Linked DNA regions of Elephas maximus indicus. The protein of the gene in region 1 purifies or fractionates together with the protein of each later gene. This does not show direct contact. Links are inferred from orthologs where the notes say so. Each region holds a gene or a part of one and is shown on either strand. Other genes may lie near its edges. The genes, in order: OS9 and SERPINA1.

Region 1 (10,594 bases):
TTTTTTATATATATTAGCTTATTTCATACAAGTGAGTTCTTACAGTATTTGTCCTTTTGCAACTGACTTATTTTGCTCAGCATGATGTTTTCAAGGTTCATCCACGTTGTGGCATGCATCAGGATTTCATTTCTCTTTATGGCTGCATAGTACTCCATTGCATGTACTGTAATGAATAAACTATTTTGTTTATTCATTCATCTGTTGATTCCTGCAACACTTTTGTAAATTATTCTCTGTATTAAATTCCCTGTGTTTGAAAAACCTGGAGTTGTTTCTGTTTTCTCGATTGCACGTTTACTGGCACAAATAGATTGTCATCTTTTGAGCCTCTGGTATCAATTTTCTCATTGACTAAGTCAATCCTTTTTGTTTCAGTTTCTGTTACAGCAGTACTCTACTTCTACTGTCAGTTTCTGTGTTAGTTAGGGTTAGTAGTGTTAAACACAACCCTAAAGTTCAGTGAGTCAACAAAAGTTTTTACTTGCTCATAGTAGAGCCTAGCATAGGTTGTAAGTGGTGGTGGTAGGATGCTCTGCACCACGCATTCATTCAGGAATCCAACTGACAGAGGTCCACCATCTTCAACATGTGGCAGCCAAGGTCTTTCTGGGAGTTGCTATCTACCCTGCATGTGGTGGATGAAAAAGAGTGTGGAAGAAAACACAGAGCATTTTAGGATCTAGGCATAGAGTGGTGGCCATCACTTCTGCCCATATTTCACTGGCCAGAACTGAATCATGTAGCTCTACCTAACTGCAGTATGTGTTGGTAAAGGTAGTTTATCTGTGTGACCAGGAGGAAGATAAAACTAGTTTGATGAAACATTGCATTGTCTCTACCACAACAAAGTTGCTTTTATTTATAATTTTCATGATATATCTTCTCCACATTTTTATTTTATTTTTTAAATAATTTTTATTGTGCTTTAAGTGAAAGTTTACAAATCAAGTCAGTCTCTCACACAAAAACCCATATACACCTTGCTAAAAAAAAATACACCTTGCTACACACCCCCAATTACTCTCCCCCTAATGAGACAGCCTGTTCTCTCCCTCCACTCTCTCTTTTCGTGTCCTTTTCGCCAGCTTCTAACCCCCTCCACCCTCTCATCTCCCCTCCAGGCAGGAGATGCCAACATAGTCTCAAGTGTCCACCTGATCCAAGAAGGTCACTCCTCACCAGCATCCCTCTCCAACCCATTGTCCAGTCCAATCCATGTCTGAAGAGTTGGCTTCAGGAATGGTTCCTGTCCTGGGGCAACAGAAGGTCTGGGGGCCATGACCACCCTGGTCCTTCCGGTCTCAGTCCGACCATTAAGTCTGGTCTTATGAGAATTTGGGGTCTGCATCCCACTGCTCTCCTGCTCCCTCAGGGTATATTTTTATTTTTAATTATTTTGTATCCTTACATTTTAGATGTTCTTCTCTATAAACAGTATATGTCATATTTTATTGACTCTTAGACACACACTTTTTCATATTTTAATACACTCATATTTAATACTCTGAAATTGGGATGGATCTTACAACTGATAGTACGCCGTGGGTAAATTGGTCCTGCTTATATCCTTTTCGGTGTTAGATATAATAATGGTGTTACTTGAAATAAGTGACTTCATAAATTTGGTATTTTTTTCTCATTTCATTTTTCCCTTTGCTTTGGAGGTTATACACTCTTTCCGTACTCCTTTACTGGTTATCTACAACATAAATATAAATATTTGGCTTATCGAAATCTAAACATCAGTGTTGTCTGTATCACTAAGGGTTCAGCCAGAAAAACAAAAACCACATTACATGCTGTTATGGATTGAGTTGTGTCCCAAAAAAATATGTGTTGTGAATCCTAACCTCTATGCCTGTGGTTATAATCCCATTTGAGAAAGGGGTTGCCTTTGTTATGCTAACGAGACAGGATTAATGTAGGGTATATTCTGAGTCAATTTCTTCTGAGATATAAAAACAGCTAATCAAGCAAGCGAAAGAAGCAGACATGCCAAGCTACGTGAAGATCACCCAGGAGCAGAAGCCCAGAAGAGACAAGGACTTTTCCCCAGAGCCAACAGAGAGAGAAAGCCTTCTTCTAGAGCTGGCACCCTGAATTTGGATTTCTACCCTCCTGAACTGTGAGATGATACACTTCTGTTTGTTCAGGCCACCCACCTGTGGTTTTGCTGTCATAGCAGCACTAGGTAACTAAGACAGGCTTTAACAGGGAGAATTTAATAGACAGAGTTGATGAAACAAATGTTGGAGGAATGAAAAAGCAAAAGGGAACATGGAGGTATCACAGAGGAGCAGGGAGCAGCTACTGCTCCTGGAGCTAGGGAAGCAAAAGGAAGAGACGGGGGTTATCACAACTAGAGCGTCAGATGAGGCACCCGGTAGAGCTGAGTTCCCTGGTTGTTCCTGGACCTCTGCGGGGGTACAATGAAGCTGGTTCTGGAAGAGCAAGAAACAGAAAGAAGGAAACCCATTTCTTCCTCCTCTAGCTTTCTAGTCTTTCTCCAGCAGAACTGATAGAACGTAAGAGTGAGTTGGCTGACAAAAAAAAAAAAGATGGTTTGCAGATCATCAGCCCCAGCATCAGAGTGGCATTCAGAAGGGTGGATTTGTTGTTGATTTTGCTGTTGATTTGTGACTTAGGAGACCCCATGTGTTACAGAGTAGAACTGCTCCATAGGGTTGTCTTGGCTGTAATCTTTACGGAAGCAGGCCTGTTTCCAACAGCTCGGTGCAGCGGAGTGGTTTCCAACCACCAACCTTTTGGTTACCAGCTGAGTACAAACCATTTGTGCCACCCAGGGACCTTTAGAAGGGTGGATTTGAAGATGAAACACATAGCTTAATAATTGGCACACTCTCCTTGCAGATAATTTCAAGAAAACTAGAACAAGTTGACTTGACTCACCTACCTCCTAATGTATATGTAATTGTTTCAATGAGTTTTAATTCCATCTTGATATATAAACTCCAGAATACATTACTGTTGTTGCTTTATACAGTCAATATTCATGTCAGTTTTAAAACATATTTCCCATTTTTGTTATTCTTCATTTCTTCTTATATGTCAGACCTCCCATCTAGGATAACTTTCTTTTGTCCAAAGTATATTCTTTAGAATTTTCCTTCGTGAGAATCTTCTGGCTGCAAATTCTTCTGGTTTTTGTTTGTCTGAAACTCTTTGTATTTCACTCTCATTATTGAGAGATATTTTCATGGGGCATAAAATTCCCAGTAGAACCAATTTTCTTTCAATATACTGAAGATGTCATTGACTTGTCTTCTGGCTTCCATGGCTGCTATTGAGAAGTCAGTTCTCAGTCTAACTGCTGCTCCTTTAAAGGTAATCTGTTTCTCTGGTTGCTTTTATTTATCGTGGTAAAATTTACATGCAGTGAAATGCACAGACCTTACCTGTTACAGATCAGTGAGCTTTGACAAATGTTTACACCAGTGTAACCCACATTCTGGCACCTTTTAAAGACCTGCTCTTTGTCTTTAATGTTACTGAGTTACACTATGGTATGTCTATTTACTGACTTCTTTTTATCTATCCTGCTTGAAATTTGTTAGGCCTCTTGAATCTGTGGATTTGTATTTCTCACCAGTTTTGAAAAATTCTCAGCCTTTATCTTTGCTGCATTTTTTCTCTCTTTTCCTTCCAGAATTCCAGTTAGACATGTGTTAGATTTCTGACTTTACCCTCCATATGTCTTATACTCTCTTTGTTGCTCTGTGCTTCACTCTGTATAATTTCTTCTGAACATCATTAATTCTATCTTCAACTAAATCTAAACTGTTGTTAAAATTACTCCCTGCGTTTTTTAAATGGAAAATTTCAAACACAATCAAAAGTAGAAAGTAAAGAATCATGAACCCCATGTACCTATCATGTAGCTTTAAAAATTATAAAATACGATTAATCTCACTTCATCTATATCACCACCGCTTCCCCCCAGATTCTTACAGGCATCATACCATCTTACTGGTAAATACATGAGTTCGTATCTCTAAGAGATAAGGGCTAATTTTAACATAAATATAATACTGTCCCAAAAAACATAATACTGTCCAACAAAATAATAATAATTCATTAATATCATATAATATCCAGTCAGTGCCCATTTTCCTGACATAAAAGTATTTTCATAGGTAGCTTGATTCAGGACCCAATCAAGATCTATACATTGCATTTGGTGGATACATCTCTTAGACCTCTTTCAATATAAACGGTTTTCTTCATTTCTTAAATCTTGCAATGTATTTGTTAAAGGGATTGGGACATTAATCCTGTTTTATTCCTCATATGTTAAACAATCCTGTGGTGTTTAACGTATTCTCCTATTTCCCATATTTCCTGTAAACTGGTAGCTTTATTTAGAATCTTGGTTCTGCAAGAATCCTCCATAGATTCCGTAGATTCCATGCCTTCCTCTTTTTTTAACTAACTGACTTGTTCTGATGAAATACATCTTCTCCTATCTTTCTGAAAAGCAATGTATAGAGTGTTAATATTTTAAGGGCTTGAATATCTGAAATTGTCTCAGTTCTGGACTCATAATTAAACCATAGTTTGGCTGGATGCAGAATTCTGGTTGGAAATAATTTCCCTCAGAATTTTCAAGCCATTTCTCCATTGTTTTCTAGCTTTCAGAGTTGAGAAGCCTAACACTGTTCTGATTCCTGATCTTTGTATGAAACCTGTTCTTTTTCTCTGGAAGCTTTTAGAATATTTTCTCTGTCTCCAGCATTCTGAAATTCTACAATAATGCATCTTGGTGTGGGTCTGATTCGTTGTGCTGAATACTTAGTGTATCTTTTCAATTTGGAAACACAATCCTTCCATTCAAGGAAATACTTTTTAATAATTACACTGGTCATTTCTTCCCTTCTGACTTTCTGTCTTTCTGGAGCTCTTATTAATCAGACATTCTACCTCCTGAGCTGATCCTATATATATATATATATATATATATATATATATGATTTTTCCCCCTAAAGGAGAGCAAATTTGGTCTTCTTCAACTTTATCTTCTAGTCTTTCTATTCCACTTTTATTTCTGCCTATGGTTTTAATTTCCAAGAGCTCTTTTTGCTTATCTCAATAGTAGTTACTTTTTAAAATCGCTTATTGTTGTTTTCTCATGGATGCACTCTTATCTCTCTGAGGATATTAATGTTTGCTTTATTTTGTTTTCAGGACTTTTTATTTTTATTTATTTGTTTTGTCCCTTGAAATCTGTTTCCTCTCATTTGCTTGTTTTGGTCTCTTTCTCGTATAGTAAAGGTTTTCCTTAAATGCCTAATGATCCTTGGGCCTCTGCTTTTATCTAAGAATGAGCACATTAAAAGGCTCATTGGAAAGTCCATGTACGGGATAGGAATGCAGGCCAATGGCTTAACTGTAGGATTGGTTCAGCTATTTCACTGAAGGAATCCTGATGAGAGTATCTTGGGATTTCTCCCCCTGGCTGGTCAGATTCGCCAGAGAAGGTTTTTCAATGCCCTGCCTGGAGGTACAATCATGCCCTTGTTTACCTCTGTTGAGGAATCAACTTTCTCAAGTCTGCAAAGCAATTATCATTTCTCCATTTGCTTTCCAGCTTCCAAAATGTTACTGTTGTTGTCTCCTTTCTTTTTCTCTTTCTCTTTGTTTGATACAAATTACTAGATTGTCTTAAAGTTGTATGTATATATGAAAAGAGGTATGCTTCTGTACAATACCACCACCTGTCTCTGCCAGTTTGTCACGCTGTGGTGGCTTGCCTATTGTTATTGTGCTGGAAACTATACCACCAGTATTTCAAAAACCAGTAGGGTCACTCATGGTGGATAGGTTTCAATGGAGCTTCCAGACTAAGACTAGGAAAAAAGCCCTGGTGATCTACTTCCAGAAAATTAGCCAATAAAAACCTTACGGATCACAAGAGAATACTGTCCAGTATAGTGCTAGAAGGTGAGCACCCTAGGTCGGAAGGCATTATACAATAGCCACAATAATGAACTCAAACATATCAACTTTCACGAAGATGGCGCAGGACCGGGCAACGTTTTGTTCTATTATATATAAGGTCACACCACAAGTCGGAGCCAACTGGACGGCAACTAACAAACAAGTCTCTACAATAATTGTTGGGCAACAAATATTAAGTAACTTCAACGGGCATCACGCCCACCTGCCCTTCGGCCTAAATCCTCCGCCTTGCTGGGGCCTACTACAACGCAGAAGATATCCACCGAAGTAATAAGAGACGAATACAACGTCCGGGCGAAGGCCAGGCAGCCGCTGCAAAAGGCCGAGGGCAAAGACCGCACAGCCTGGAAGCGAAGAGAGGGTGGAAGGGGGTTTGATCTTGTCGATGATTGGTTGGCCTCTCTGACCAATCAAGTGCAGCGAGTGATTGGCCATTAGTTGTGATCCACCACCCGGTGAGCTTTGTAGTCATGCTTACAAATGGGAATAAGGTACGTAAGAGGGACAGCACTTATAGCCAATGAAACCTTGTGTTATTAATGGGCGGGATGAAGCCCCTGCCAGGTTTAGGGCGGAAAGAGTTGCTCGGGATAAGAAGGGGAACGAAAGATGGCGGCGGAAACGGTGCTGTCCAGTCTTTTGGGGCTGGTGCTTCTGGGGCTCCTGTTACCCGCAAGTCTGACCGGCGGTGTCGGAAGCCTGAACCTGGAGGAACTGAGTGAGATGCGTTATGGGATTGAGATCCTGCCTTTGCCTGTCATGGGAGGGCAGGTGAGGAGGCATAGAGGGGGGCGAGGATCCGGGATAGAAGAGAAAAATGTAGGGAAGGAAAACAGCTGCGGAGTCTGGGGCAGAAGCCTAAGGAGAGTCGAGAAGAGTAGAATGGGGTTTATGATGATTTCTGGGAATCACAGACTGAGCCCATCCCTTGGGGCCAGGGGCTGGGAGGGTGGGGCTTCCCGCTGTCAGCCTCCAGGTCCCAGTCCCTGATGAACACTCACTTGACTCCGCCCGGATGGCCAAGTGGGAGTGTTCTCTCCCCTCACCCACCGAGCACAGCTGGAGGACTTGTGGGTTCATTCTGTCTCCAACTGGGCTTTTCCCCAGGGTCTGAAGAGGAATCTCATTGTTCTGCCTGATCCTAGCCTCTCTTTGCCTCCCTGCTCCCCTACCCCCACCCCCCTGCTTTCCCAGAGCCAGGCTTCGGACGTGGTGATTGTCTCCTCTAAGTACAAACAGCGCTATGAGTGTCGCCTGCCAGCTGGAGCCATTCACTTCCAGCGTGAAAGGGAGGAGGAGGCACCTGCTTACCAAGGGCCTGGGGTCCCTGAGTTGTTGAGCCCGATGAAAGATGCTCCTTGCCTGCTGAAGGTAAAAGGGACTGGAATGGATGGAACAGGGCTTGGGCACTAACAGACCATGCGAGAACCAGAGTGCTGGTGAATGAGGAGGGATCTAGAGGACCTGTAGGAGTTAAGAAGGCTGCTGGAGGAGTAGACATACAGACAGGAAAGGAGCAAAGAATCCTGCAACCACCGATGTGGCTCTGCCAGTGTAGAGGAGGGTTAGGATAGGAGATCTCAGAATAAGGGCTAAACAAAGATTGAGGTGCCTAAAGAGGGGCAGTGTGGGATAGGAAGGGCACCTCCTTAGAGAAGCCTTCCTAGTAAACCCTAGCAAAGTCACCTCCTGCCCCAGTCACTCTCCATCCCACTATCCTATTTTCACCCTAGCACTTTTTTCTGAAATCATCCTGTTAACAGAATCATCAGTTTGTTTATTTATTTACTTATTTTTGGTCTGCTTCCCTGCACTGGAATGTAAGTTTCATGAGGTCAGGGAATGTGTCTTGTTCACAGCTGTATCCCTAATGTCTAGAACAGTGCAAGGGATGTTGTAGACAGTTAATTAATATTTGAGATTGGGGTCTTCTATGTTTCCCTGGTCTGAGTGCTTCAAGGATACCATGATTCTTTTGTCTTTACTGAGGGTAAAGAAGGATTTAAATATATATGGAAGGAGTGGAAAGACCACAGGTGGGAAACAGACTTTAGAGGTACCACCCCAAGCCAGAGAAAGAAAACAGTGCTGTCTGCTCACTGAGAATTTGGGGAATTGCATGTGGACTTGGAGAGAGATATCAGTAGATGAGAAGTTGTATGTCCTGGAGCCAGGAGAGATTCTGGTTCCCAGGTGACACATCCCCACTCCATCCCCCTGATTGTCCATTTTTTTATTGTCAGACAAAGGACTGGTGGACATATGAATTTTGTTATGGACGCCACATCCAGCAGTACCACATGGAAGGTGACTCCCTTCTCTGTTCTCCCTAAGCCCTCAGCCACATGTTGTGGCAGGTGACCTGACTCCCCAGTCCCCTTCCCTCCTCGCATCTCTCAGAAGGGAGTAATGGTGCTCCACTGTGATTACTTTTGCAGATTCAGAGATCAAAGGCGAAGTCCTCTATCTTGGCTACTACCAATCGGCCTTCGACTGGGATGACGAAACAGCCAAGGTGGTAGAAGTGTGGGATTGGGAGGGAAGGGGGTCCTGGCTGCATCCTGAGAGCCCTGGCTTAGGGTTAGAATTGGCTAGCATATTTTCGGGACTTGGTGGCCATTAGGACAAAGGCCCCTGGGGCCTGGATTCCCAAGGCCTGTAAGGTCCCCGTGGGGGGTTAGTGCTGTTCTTCCTCCTTGCTAACTTTCTCGTCCCCCTTCTCTCCTGCCTGCTATCCTTTCCAGGCCTCTAAGCAGCATCGCCTGAAGCGCTATCACAGCCAAACCTATGGGAATGGGTCGAAGTGCGACCTCAATGGGAGGCCCCGGGAGGCCGAGGTTCGGGTGAGTCTTGAGAGAGGAATGTTGACACTCCCTCAGTGACAATTCAGATTCCAAGGAAAGAGGGCAGAGTTGCATCTTATGGTCAAGTGAATCTCTCCCAGACAGACATATTTCAGTTGCCAGCTGGATGTTGCTACATGGATGTTCAGAGGTTCTTCAGGTCAACAATTCCTACATCTTCCCCCTAGCATCCCCAACCACATTTACTCTTTTTTCCATATTTCTCTTTTCTGTCGCCTGAACTAGAAACCTGAGTACCATCCTTGACTCTCCCTTCTCTTTCATGTCATCCTTCCTTTCTTCAGTTAAAGACTCTCCAGTAAGCTCTTGCTGTATGTAGGTCCTGGGCTGGGGTCTGGGGACACAGTGGTGGGCAAGCAGACGCATCCCTTGCCCTCTTGGAAGTCATGTTAGCAAAAGAACCCCAGAAAGGAGCCTATGATTACAAACTGAGAAGTGATATGAAGGAGCTTAGTTCTCTGAGAGTAAATAACAAAGCCTATGCATTCTACTTCTAGATATCTCTCAAAACTCTTTGTCCCTGTGGTTGGTACCTTCACCTCCCTCCTGCATCACTGCCCACACCCTCTTAACAGGTGTTCCCGATCTAGTGGTCCTTAACTAGGGGGGTGGGCCCGCAGGTGTATGTTAAAGGTCCTCAGGTGATCCTAATGTGTATTCACAAACACCGTAGAGACCCACATGACACCTACCAGAGTTATTGTTCTGTAATACAGATTTGCATTTGAGGTGGTGTGCTGCAAGTGTTGAACACCCAGATTTCTAGGGGGGCAAAGCCCTGATTTTTAGTGTTTGCCAGTTTCAAGCTATCAGTGTGACATCAGTTGGCTTGCAAAATCTCTGAAAATTTACCAGTCAGCTCTTGTGAGCTAGTGTAAGCTGGCTTCAGAACATCACTGTAAGCACAGGTCACTTCTCTGCCCAGTCCTAGAAAACCTTCAGTGATTGTGCGTTGTCCGAAGGATGAGGTCCAAATGCCTCACACAGACCAGGGTGGTGCCAATGGTGGCACTGAAAAGTGGATGGCTTCTGCATATATTTTGAAGGTAGAACCAATAAGACTTGTTGATAGATTGGATGTAGGGTGGAGTCAAAGCTGGCAGTCATCAACATATTGGTTATGTTATGGATGAAAATCCCTCAAAAGGTAGTGTCAAAGGTTTTTAGCCTGAGCGACTGGAAGGATAGAATTGTCATTTATTAAAGTGGGTAGGAGTGGGTTTAGGGGAGGAAATTAGGGGTTAGTTTTGGATACATGAAAGTCTAGATGTCTATTAGACATCCAAGTGGTGATGTCTAGTTGGTAGTTGGCTCTGTGAGTCTAGAGTTCAGGTACTTGGTCTGGGCTGGAGATATAAATACTGCATTTCTGCCACACTGGCCTTCCTTCTATCCTTTGACCCAGTGGTTCTCATTGTTCCTTCTTCCTGGAGCAGTCTTTCCACAGATCCTGGAGTGGCTGGCTCCATCCCCTCATTTAGGTTATATTCAAATGATACCTCCTTAGGGAGATCTAATGTAGACACACACACACCTCTGTCCTGGTTCTTGTAAATACCTACTATGTTTAATATTCTTCAAAGCATGTATTATCATCTGAAGTTATCTTATTTGTTTAATATCTGTCTCCCCCAACTAGAATAAGCTCCAGGAAGGCAGGGACAGTGTCTGTCTTGTTTCCTGCTGTATCTTCAGTGCCTGGAACAGTACCCAGCACCAACGGGGTGCCCAGGAATTATTTGTTGAATGAG
Region 2 (9,940 bases), on another chromosome or scaffold:
CCCACTGTGGTGGTTTGTGTGTTGCTGTGATGCTGAAAGCCATGCCCAGGTATTTCAAATACCAGCCAAGTTACCATGATGGACATGTTTCAATGGAACTTCCAGACTAAGACAGACTAGGAAGTAAGGCCTCGCAACCTGCTTCGAAAAATCAGCCCATGAGAACCCTTCAGATCACAATAGAACATTGTCTGATGGAGTGCTGGAAAATGAGACCCTCAGGACTGAGCAACATTTTGTTCTGCTGTACATGAGGTCACCAACAACCACAGGGTGTGATGCACAGGCCTGTGGATGTCAGGGGTGAGGTTGGGAGAGCATGGGGCCATCCAGGGAGGCTGTGTAACTGCAGGAAGAGGAGAGGTTGGGAGAGCATGGGGCCATCCAGGGAGGCTGTGTAACTGCAGGAAGAGGAGAGGTTGGGAGCCAGCAGGGAGGCCGGGAGAATCAGACCTGCTCTTGCACCCAGGGAATGGTGCCATTTGCTTGTTCCTGGCATGGGGACATGTGAAGAGAGTCCCTATCCAACGGAGCAGGGAGGGTTGGCAGAAAGAGATCTCAACAGTAAATGAGTCCAGGGAATGTTGGAGAGCAAACAACCCCCACTGGAGAGGACTCGAGGAGAAGCAAGCTTCTCTGGGGGAGTCGGGGCTCACTATCTGTGAGTACACAGGAGGAGGAACAAGGGGTGACAGGGGCCTGAGCCCCAGAACAGAGAGGGGCGACAAGGAGCAGCAACAGGAAAGATGTTATGCAACCCCCCATCCGGCATTTCATCATCTCAGATGCTGCCAGCCAGCTGTGGACCTGCCTTCAGAGAGTTTATTCCTTCCTGGCATAGGGGGTGGTGAGGGGTTGGAAAGAGATCCTATCCAAGGAGGTGGGAAGGATGGACAGAAAGAGACCTGAACAGGGAGTTCAGAGATCTGATTCCAGCCCCAACACCTTCCTGGCTCTCACCCCATATGTCAGCCCTCCGACCTGTCATCCATCTTTCTGCCCCTGCCTCCTGTTCATCTCTCATATCCACGTCTCCTCCCTCCCCGGATTTCTGGAAGAGCCTCCATGTTCCCCGGCTTGGCCCTCACCAGAGCGTGAGTTCCAGACAGTGGGGACCATGTCTTCTCACCTTTGCAAACCCAGAGCCTAGTGCAGTTGCTGGCACCCAACAGGAGAGCAACACATGATATTTAGAGAGTGAATGAATAAATGAGCAGGTACACTAATAGATGGGTGAATGTAAGGAAGACAGCCCTATGAGCTGATTATAGATGTAGGAAGGAAGGACATGTAGGAAGGAAGGGAAGGCAGGAGGGAGGCAGGTTGGCTGCATTTTCAGCACTGTGGTAGCGGTCTGTGCCTCAGTTTCCCCATCCACACTAAGGGGAGAATAATGGCGCCCACCGCAGGGGATTGCACGTGAATACACATAAAGCATCTAGAACAGAGCCCAGCAGGTAATAAGCACCTGAGAAGCATCAGCTGTGATGCAGGTGATGATAGACCGCACACGGGAACACTTTGGGGATTTGTATTATAAAATGTGAGCAAACAGAAATGCTTAAAGTCAACATGAAGGGAAGTCAACAACGGGGACTGAACCGCTTCAACCCAAGGTCGTGAGGCAAGTTCTAGACGCCCTATCGCTCCCTGTTATCTGAGCCGCCCACACAGGACATGTGCCTCTGAAAAACAAGTCTCAATGTCCTGCTGGGTCTCCATGTTCCCCTCGGGGGTGAGTCCTGTCACCCAGCCCTGCCTGTGCCACCCCTCCCTCTTCCCTTCCAACAGGGTGCCCCAGAGAGGGTCAAGGACAACACTCAATGTCCAGGGGCCGGGAACGGTGAGGATGGGCTGGGACATGGTGCCCTGACTACAAAGCCCGCATGTATGCTCCAGAACGTCGTACAAAGAGCCTGCTGAAAGGAGAACAGAGAAAAATTAAAGGGGCTCCTACTGGCCGAAATATGAAACGGGGAACACCAGAAGGGAAATGATCATGACAGTTAAACAGGACAGGTTGAGTCTCCTAAAAGCTGCGAGTCCATAATGGCACTCAAAGGGTAAAATTACAGTGTTTTATTGTACTTAGGTGCACTGAGTCAGTTCCAACTCATAGCGACCCTGTGTACAACAGAACCAAACACTGCCTGGTCCTGTGCCATCTTCCTGATCATTGTTATGCTCGAGCCCATTGTTGAATCCACTGTGTCAATCCATCTGGTTGAGGGTCTTCCTATTTTTCACTGACCCTCTACTTTATCAAGCATACTGTCCTTCTCCAGGGACTGATCCCTCCTGATAACGTGTTCAAAGTATGTAAGACAGTCTCGCCATCCTTGTTTCTAAGGAGCATTCTGGTTGTACTTCTTCCAAGACAGATTTGTTTATTCTTCTGGCAGTCCATGGTATATTCAGTATTCTTCACCATCACCACAATTCAAAGGCGTCAACTCTTCTTTGGTCTTCCTTATTCATTCTCCTGCTTTCCAAATTACAGTGCAGGAAAGGTTAGTTATAATAGAATGCTTATTTTATTTATTTTACTGAGTGGGGGATGAAACTATAAATGTACGTTTTATTCCTTCTATTAACTATATTGTCCCTTACAACGCACCGATATCTTTATTTTTCTCTATCTGCGTAGGCTGAGGAATGAAAACAAGGAACTCTGAATTTGTCGGATAGTTTCAGAAAGTTCAGAAATTGTACCAAGTATAGGAAGCAGCGCTGGAGGTTGAACACAGGAAGGACCAGGGTCCGCCTGGATGTTGCAAGTTGGCAGGTTCACAAGAGTGCCAGGAGGAGGCGAACCAAGTGTGCAAACGCTCTCCATCCCTGGTAATAGCCCTAGTAATTAAAGTGCGTTCTGAGAAGGCAGCCACGTGTCAACCATGCCGGCACAATTGTTAAATACACACAGGCAGCACCTTAAAGCCACCTGTGAGAAAGAGACTCTTATTGTCCCCATCTTACAGATGAGGATGCTGGGGCTCAGCAAGGCGAAGCAAAGCCCTTCCCCCAGTGAGTCCCAGGCTGCCCGGCTTCCGCTGCCCCAGGCCCACCTGGCTACATTGCACCTCACAGGTGCTCAGGTAGACGCTAGTTGCATCTCCAGGAAGCAACATGAACACAGGCCCCTGGAGAAAGGATGGGTGGCCTTCTCAGATAAGTGGAAGCCTGAATCTGAGGAGGCATCCCTGGTCTAAGAGAGATGCTCCCAAATGGGGACCAAAGGCAGGGGTCTTTCTCCCACTCTCAGGCCTCTGGGATCCACCTGAAATCTTTTCCAGACCAGGGTACATTCCCATAGACCATAACAGCAGTTGGCATTAACTTGGGGCCATGTGCCAAGACTGCCCTAAGGGCTTACATGTTATATAACCCTCGTGGAAGTGAGTGACAGTTCATATGCCCATTTTACAGATGAGGAAACTGAGGCACAGAGAGATTACAAGGCTTGTCTAAGATCATGCAAAAAGAAAGGGGTGGAGTTAAGGCTTGATAGCTTAGCCCCTGAGTCTGTGCTTAACAGACCCTGGAAACGGGAAGGAAATCTGAGAGGGAGGGCATGTGGTGTGTGTGTGTGTGTTGGGTGGGGGGGCAGTACAGGCTGGTTTCCACACTTTCCTGCAAATGGGTTCAGCTCCCCTGAAATCCAGGGGACTCCTGAGCAATCGACGATCCTTGGTCCTTGGTCTACTTGGCCCAGGACCCTTCTTCAGCACACTCCACTCCTCACTTTCCTCCTTGTTGGAGACTCGGCATCTCAGCTCTCAGGCCTCTCCCTATCCTACACAGTGGGGCTCCCATTCCTTTGCAGGGCCCTACTGGAGACCCTGCTTGGTGTAAATAGTAAAGCGCTCAACTATAAACTGAAAGGTTAGTGTTTGAATCTATCCAGAGGTGCCTAGGAAGAACGGCCTGGTGATATAAAAAAAGGTGATATACTTCTGGAAAATCAGCCATTGAAAACCCCTAAGGAGCGCACCTCTGCTCTGACATGCGTGGGGTCGCCGTGAGTCATTGAAAACCCCACGGAGCGCACGTCTGCTCTGACCTCTGCTCTGACATGCGTGGGGCTGCCCCGAGTCACTGACAACCCCACGGAGCGCACGTCTGCTCTGACCTCTGCTCTGACGTGCGTGGGGCCGTCGTGAGTCACTGAAAACCCCACGGAGCGCACGTCTGCTCTGACCTCTGCTCTGATGTGCGTGGGGCCGCCCGGAGTCACTGACAACCCCACGGAGCGCACGTCTGCTCTGACCTCTGCTCTGACGTGCGTGGGGTCGCCGCAAGTCAGAACAGACTCGACAGCAACTGGTTTTGTTTTGCTTTTTATGTTTTTACGGAGGGGCAGAGTCTCCCCAAATATCCGTCTCCAACCTATCCACACGATTTCCCGTGGTGCGGTCGTGCCCGGGGAACCCACCCAGGCGATGCCACAGGCAATTCCAGAAGGGACCCAGAGAACAAGATTCTCTCCCCCACCCCCTGCCCCATGGCCTCTGGGTCACGGGGTACAGTGTCCTTCGGTATTGGCCACTAACGCCTCCGTGTACTCTGTCCTTGTTCATTTTCCCAAATCACCCCACTCCTTCTTCTCAGGATGGGTACCCAGAGTCACTTCTGCAGCATAAAACACTAGGGGGAGAGTGGGAGTGAGGATGGGGAGATGAGGAAGCGCTGGGGATACAGCCCGGGACCCCTCACTCTCCCCTGCTCTTTCCTCATTCCTTCTGTAAATGTCCCCCCATCTGCCATCTCTCCTGCTCCTGCCAGGCTCTGTGATACACTCCTCTCCCCTGCCACACACCCATCACAGCCTCCAGGGGGCTCCCATGAGCATTTCAGGGGTGCCTCCGCCCTCTTCCCTCTGCAGCTGACCCAGGCACCTGCCAGATACCCTGTTCTAGGCCCTGAGCCAGGAGGGTGATGCCTGTCATCTCCATTAATCCCGAGCGGGTGTGGTCAGCCCTCTTACAGAGGCCCAGACCAGCCGGTAAGTCTTCCTGGGCCACAATGCTGGACCAACAGGGCAGCTGATAACGCGCAGGCCTGCCCAGGCTGAGAAGGGTGGGTCTGGCATCCACCTGGCAATGACAGCTTTGTGCAAGGCAGCATCCTGCCCCTGTGCCTCCACCCTCCCAGACCCGTGGCCTCCACTGCCACCGCAGCCTCCTTCCTCCTGGCCAGCAGACACTCACGACTTCCCCACACCAGCTGTGGAGGAAGAGGGATTGGACCACTGCAGGAGGCGCGTCATGCCCGCCAGGAATTCAAGGTACAGGGGGTGGTACCCTCTAGCCAGTCCCCAGGCCCCCTGGGGAAGGGCGCGGGGGGGGGTGCCTGCCAAGAGACCATTGCCCATCCAATACAAGAGTTGGGAGGGGCAGCTGGGCTTCGAGGTTGTACAGATGGGGAAACTGAGGCCCACAGAGGGGCAGAAGCTTACCAAGAAGGTATTGAAGGCACATCTCTCCAAGATGTGACGGGATATAAAATCCTGGGGGGATGCCCACTTGGCTAGATCAGGGGACAGCAGAAACACTGAAGCCAGGTGACAAAGCTGGGGGGTCCTTGCCTCTCTGAACCTCAGTTTCCCACTTCTGTAAAGGCAGGGGTACACACCACCTCCAGGGGTACTGTGAGTACTGAATGAGAGAATGCCTGGCATGGGGTCCAGCTTCCTGGAAGAAAGTTCTTAGAATGTCCCCCACCTCTAGTCAACCCCAAGACTCTCCACCCCACGACCACCTCGAGACGTCCCACCCCACCAGTCACCCCAATGCCCCCCATCCCACCAACCACCCCGATGTCCCCCACCCCACCAGTCACCCTGAGGCCCCTCACCCCACCAGTCGTCCTGAGGCTCCCGACTTCACCAGCTACTCTGAGGGCCCCACCCTATAAGCCACTCCGATGCCCCCACCCCACCGGTCACCTTGAGGCCTTCCCTGAGCACCAGCAGCAGGGTTTGTGGGTAAGGCAGCAGGGAGACCCTCCACACTGGGCAAGGATTAAGTGGGAGCCCTGGTCAGCATCAGAGAAGGCCTATTGTGCACATGTGACACTTGGCCCCGGGCTCAGCTTGAATGGCTACATTTAATCCTCACACTGCCCAGTCAGGTAGACACTGTCCTGGTTCCCATTCTACAGATGGGGAAACTGAGGCATGGGAAGGTTAAACAATGTACTTCAGGTCTCACAACCAGCGGAACCATATCCCCATTTTACAGATGAGGAAACAAGCACAGAGAGGCCCAGCGGCTTATCTGTGACCACTCAAAAAGGGAGGGGTGGAGTTAAGGCTTCAACCCACATAGCTTAGCCCCCAGGGGCTCAGCATTCAAACCCTGCCAACCTGGCTCTGACTCCCTGGTCTGAATGTTTTTGCTAGAGACAGAACCCCAAGGGGAAGGCAAAGTGGAGACTGAGGGAAGGAGAGAAGGAACAATGACACAGTCATCCATTAGCTCAGCAAATGTCTGCTTAGTGTGCTTAGTGCCACGGTGCCAGACTCAGGTGCACACGGACAGAGCAGAGCAGCTCCCGCGCGGAGCGTGTGTACAGAGATCAGCCACGAGTGTCGAGGGGTCCTCAAGTGTCTCCACGGTGCAAGCGCAAAGGGAGGGGGGCAGAGTGGGGGTGTGGGGTGATGGGTGCTGGCTTATTCAAAGGGAAAAACCTTTGTGACCGGGGGAGGTTTGAGTGCAGGTTTGAGCAGAGGCCTGAAAGAAGTGGGGGAAAAGTGTGCAGGCAAGGGGAACAGCCAGTGAAAATGCTCTGAGGCTGGAGCAGGCCTGAGAGGCTCCAGGGACAGCAAGGAGGCTGGCATGGCTGGAGCAGAGTGAGCATGGGAGAGGGTGCCAGGAGGTGAGTCGGAGAGGAAGGGGGCTCCTGGAGGTGTGGGCCACTGGGAAGGACTTGGGCTTTTTTCTCTGTGCAAGACAGGAGCCATGAAGCGTTTGCACAAGGTGCGATGTGATCTGACTTAGGTTTTTCAAGGGATTACAAGCAAGTGGAGCTGAGACTGGGGCTGGGGTCCTTCCGGTCTTACCCCCTAACACTCTCCCAACCACCATAGGGCACCCAAGGGCCTGCAATAGCCCCAGGGCTGAGCCACATTCCCAAGGAAATGGGAGCAGTCTCTGGGTGGCACAAACAGTTAAGAGCTTGACTATTAACCAAAAAATTGATGGTTCCAACCCACCTAGAGGGGCCTTGGAAGACAGCCCTGGTGATCTGCTTCTAAAAGGTCACATTTTTCAAAACCCTATGGACCAGTTCTACTCTGCAAGCACGGGGTCGCCATGAGTCGGAATCAACTCGACGGCAACCGGGTATTTTTCGTCTGTGGGTCACGTTGGTCTGCCTTGAATTGGGCCTCCTTCTGCTCAGAGCAGCCTGGAGATAAAGAGCCTACTGTGTGTCAGGGACTTTATATAAGCTGCTTTGTGTGGTCCTGGCAACAACGCTAGGAGGTGGGAGTGCCAACCAGGAGGCAGATAATGCATGAGGCAGATGAAAACACCCCCAGGATCAGAGAGGTGAAGCAGCTTGCCTGAGGCCACACAGCTCTTCGGTGGCAAATCCAGGCAAGAGTTGACCAGGATCAGCCTCACCCCAAAGCCAGGCTATCTTTGCAGATACACTCTGAGACCCCTGGCTGTGCCCACGGGTACCCCACGTCAGACTGATGTGGCCCTGTCAGCCCTGTCCTGCAGACCTGCCCCACCCTCTCCTCAGGGAAATCGCGAGCCTCTTTGTATCTGACGCTGGCTTGGTGACTTTGGATGAGTGGCCTCTCCTCTCTGGGTCTCAGTTTCCCCATCTGTCAAATGGGCTAATAACATGCTCTGACACCCAGGGCAGCAGTGAATCTTCAGCCCCAGGCGTTTGGAGGTGGCTGGCTAAATGGCAGCTCCTGCTCTCCGAGGACAGGGCAGCCACCAGGATTCAGAGCGGGGGCGTGGGGCTGGCAGAGCGGTGCTGTCCCAGGAGTCCCTGACTCATCCCACCCCACCTCAGACACAGCTGGTTTATGAGCTGAGAACAATGATCCTCTGTGGTGTGTGAAGTGGAGGGCTGTGCACTGCCCAGGTTGAGCCCATGTGCCTCGGTGCCTGGCCAACGGACTTTGTCCCTGTTTGCTCCTCTGATAACTGTGGTGACCTTGGTTAATAATCACTAGCAGCCTCCCCCCACTTGCCCCTCAGCGCCCACTGCTTAAATACAGACGAGCACAGGGCTCTGTCTCCTCAGCCTTGGTCAACACCTGGCCCTGGGACAGTGAGTCGTGAGTATGCCTTCTAATGGGGAGAGCCTCCAGGCGGGTGAGGGGATAGCCAGAGGCCCCAGGAGGATGGAGCTGGCTGGGTCTAGGCCCCCTGTCGCCATAGCAATAGCAGCCCTGGGGGGGCTCCCCCATACCTACCAGTGAATGAGCAGGCAGATGTGGAAGTGGGTGCTGGCTCCGCTGTCTGGGGACCCCAGGAAGGGCGAGGGCCAAGCTACAGCGGCAATGACAGTGAGAGCAGGCGTTTGTCTGCACAGCTCCGGCGCCTTTCAGGGTTACCTCCTTTTAGCCTCTCAGCCTCCCAGTGCTTGGCCACCATCCTCCTCCTCTTCTACAGATGAGGCGCTAAGGTGCAGAGAGGGGCAGTGCTGAGCCCAGGTCACTAGGGACCTGGGCCAGGAGCCTACCTGTCATCCAGGTCTCCATCATCTCCAGACATGCCTGAGAAACAGTACTGCGCTAGCCTGGGCCTGCAGGCATCGGTATGGGTCTCCCCCAGGCACGGGGGCCGCTGGGCACCCCTCAGGCACGGGAACATTGGCACGGGATGCCATCGTCAGGACTCCAGCTAACCTTTCTGAGTGCTTATTCTGGGTCTGGCAGCTGCTGAGCTCGGTGCAAAAATTAGCCAATTTTATCCTCACAACAACCCTCTGAAGTGGCTACTGTGATTATTCCCACTTTATGGATGAGGAAATTGAGGACAGGGAGGTTAAGAACTTGCCTCAAATCACACCCTGTTTGGGATTCAAACTCAGGCCGCCTAGCTCCTGACCCGGCCGCACTGCCAGCATGCTTCTCAGGCACAAGCTGGGGAACCAGAGCCTCGTCTATCCCTGGGGCCTCTCCAATGCTCAGTGACCTTTGACAGTTGCTCAACCGCCCTGTCCTCTTGTACAAAACGTAGATAACCTTTGCCCTCCCTCCCCTACACCTCTGCCCTCACTTGGCCCTGATCTCTGAGTGTTGAAAGGATTTGATTTTTCTGCCGTTGGTTTTTGGAGTTGGGCTACAAAGATGACCAAGGCCAGGCAGGCCAGGCTCCCCTATAACGCCTGGGAAAGGTCCACGGCAACACCCAAGGCTTCTTGAGGGCCTCCTGAGTGCCTGGCACTTCTCAGCTCTCAGTGCGTATTTAAACTGCACAACCAGCCTGTGAGGGGGGCGTACTCTTACCGTCTCCGCTTCACAGACCAGGAAGCGGAGGTTCAGAGAGGTTGAGGGACTTGTCCAAGGTCACATAGCTAATAGCCAGTTGAACTCAGGCAATCCACTGTCAGAGCCTCTGATCTCAGCCACTAAGCAATGCTGCCTCCCTTCATTTAGAGGGACCACCTCGGAGGTTTTCCTGTTTCAAGGCCCTTTGCTTCAGCTTTGCACATAAAGATTTCCGGTTGCTGTGGGGTGGATTCCAACTCATGGCAACCCCAAGTGTGTCGGAGTAGAACTGTGTGCCATAGAGTTTTCAATGGCTAGCTTTTTGGAGTTAGATCTCCAGGTCTTTCCTCCGAGGCACCTCTAAGAGAGTGTACTTGAACCTCCAACCTTTCAGTTAGCATCCCAGAACTTTAACTGTTTGTACTATACAGGGACTCCAACTTTGTACACAGAACCCAGTGCAGTCAAGTCAATTCTGACTGC

The links.
Region 2: the proteins of OS9 (region 1) and SERPINA1 purify together in Homo sapiens (affinity purification with western blotting; 4 studies listed by BioGRID). This does not show direct contact. The link is inferred for Elephas maximus indicus from reciprocal best matches to the Homo sapiens genes OS9 and SERPINA1.

Annotation. Positions count from the first base shown.
Region 1 is NC_064822.1:117,596,569-117,607,162, forward strand, and holds the start of OS9 (protein OS-9), read left to right. Parts: upstream 1-6,554; 5' UTR 6,555-6,588; coding exon 6,589-6,750; intron 6,751-7,173; coding exon 7,174-7,350; intron 7,351-8,222; coding exon 8,223-8,286; intron 8,287-8,417; coding exon 8,418-8,494; intron 8,495-8,723; coding exon 8,724-8,822; intron 8,823-10,594. UniProt on the Homo sapiens protein: Lectin component of the HRD1 complex, which functions in endoplasmic reticulum (ER) quality control and ER-associated degradation (ERAD).
Region 2 is NC_064828.1:107,953,054-107,962,993, reverse strand, and holds the start of SERPINA1 (alpha-1-antitrypsin), read left to right. Parts: upstream 1-4,947; 5' UTR 4,948-5,099; coding exon 5,100-5,284; intron 5,285-8,275; exon of another isoform or gene 8,276-8,299; intron 8,300-9,940.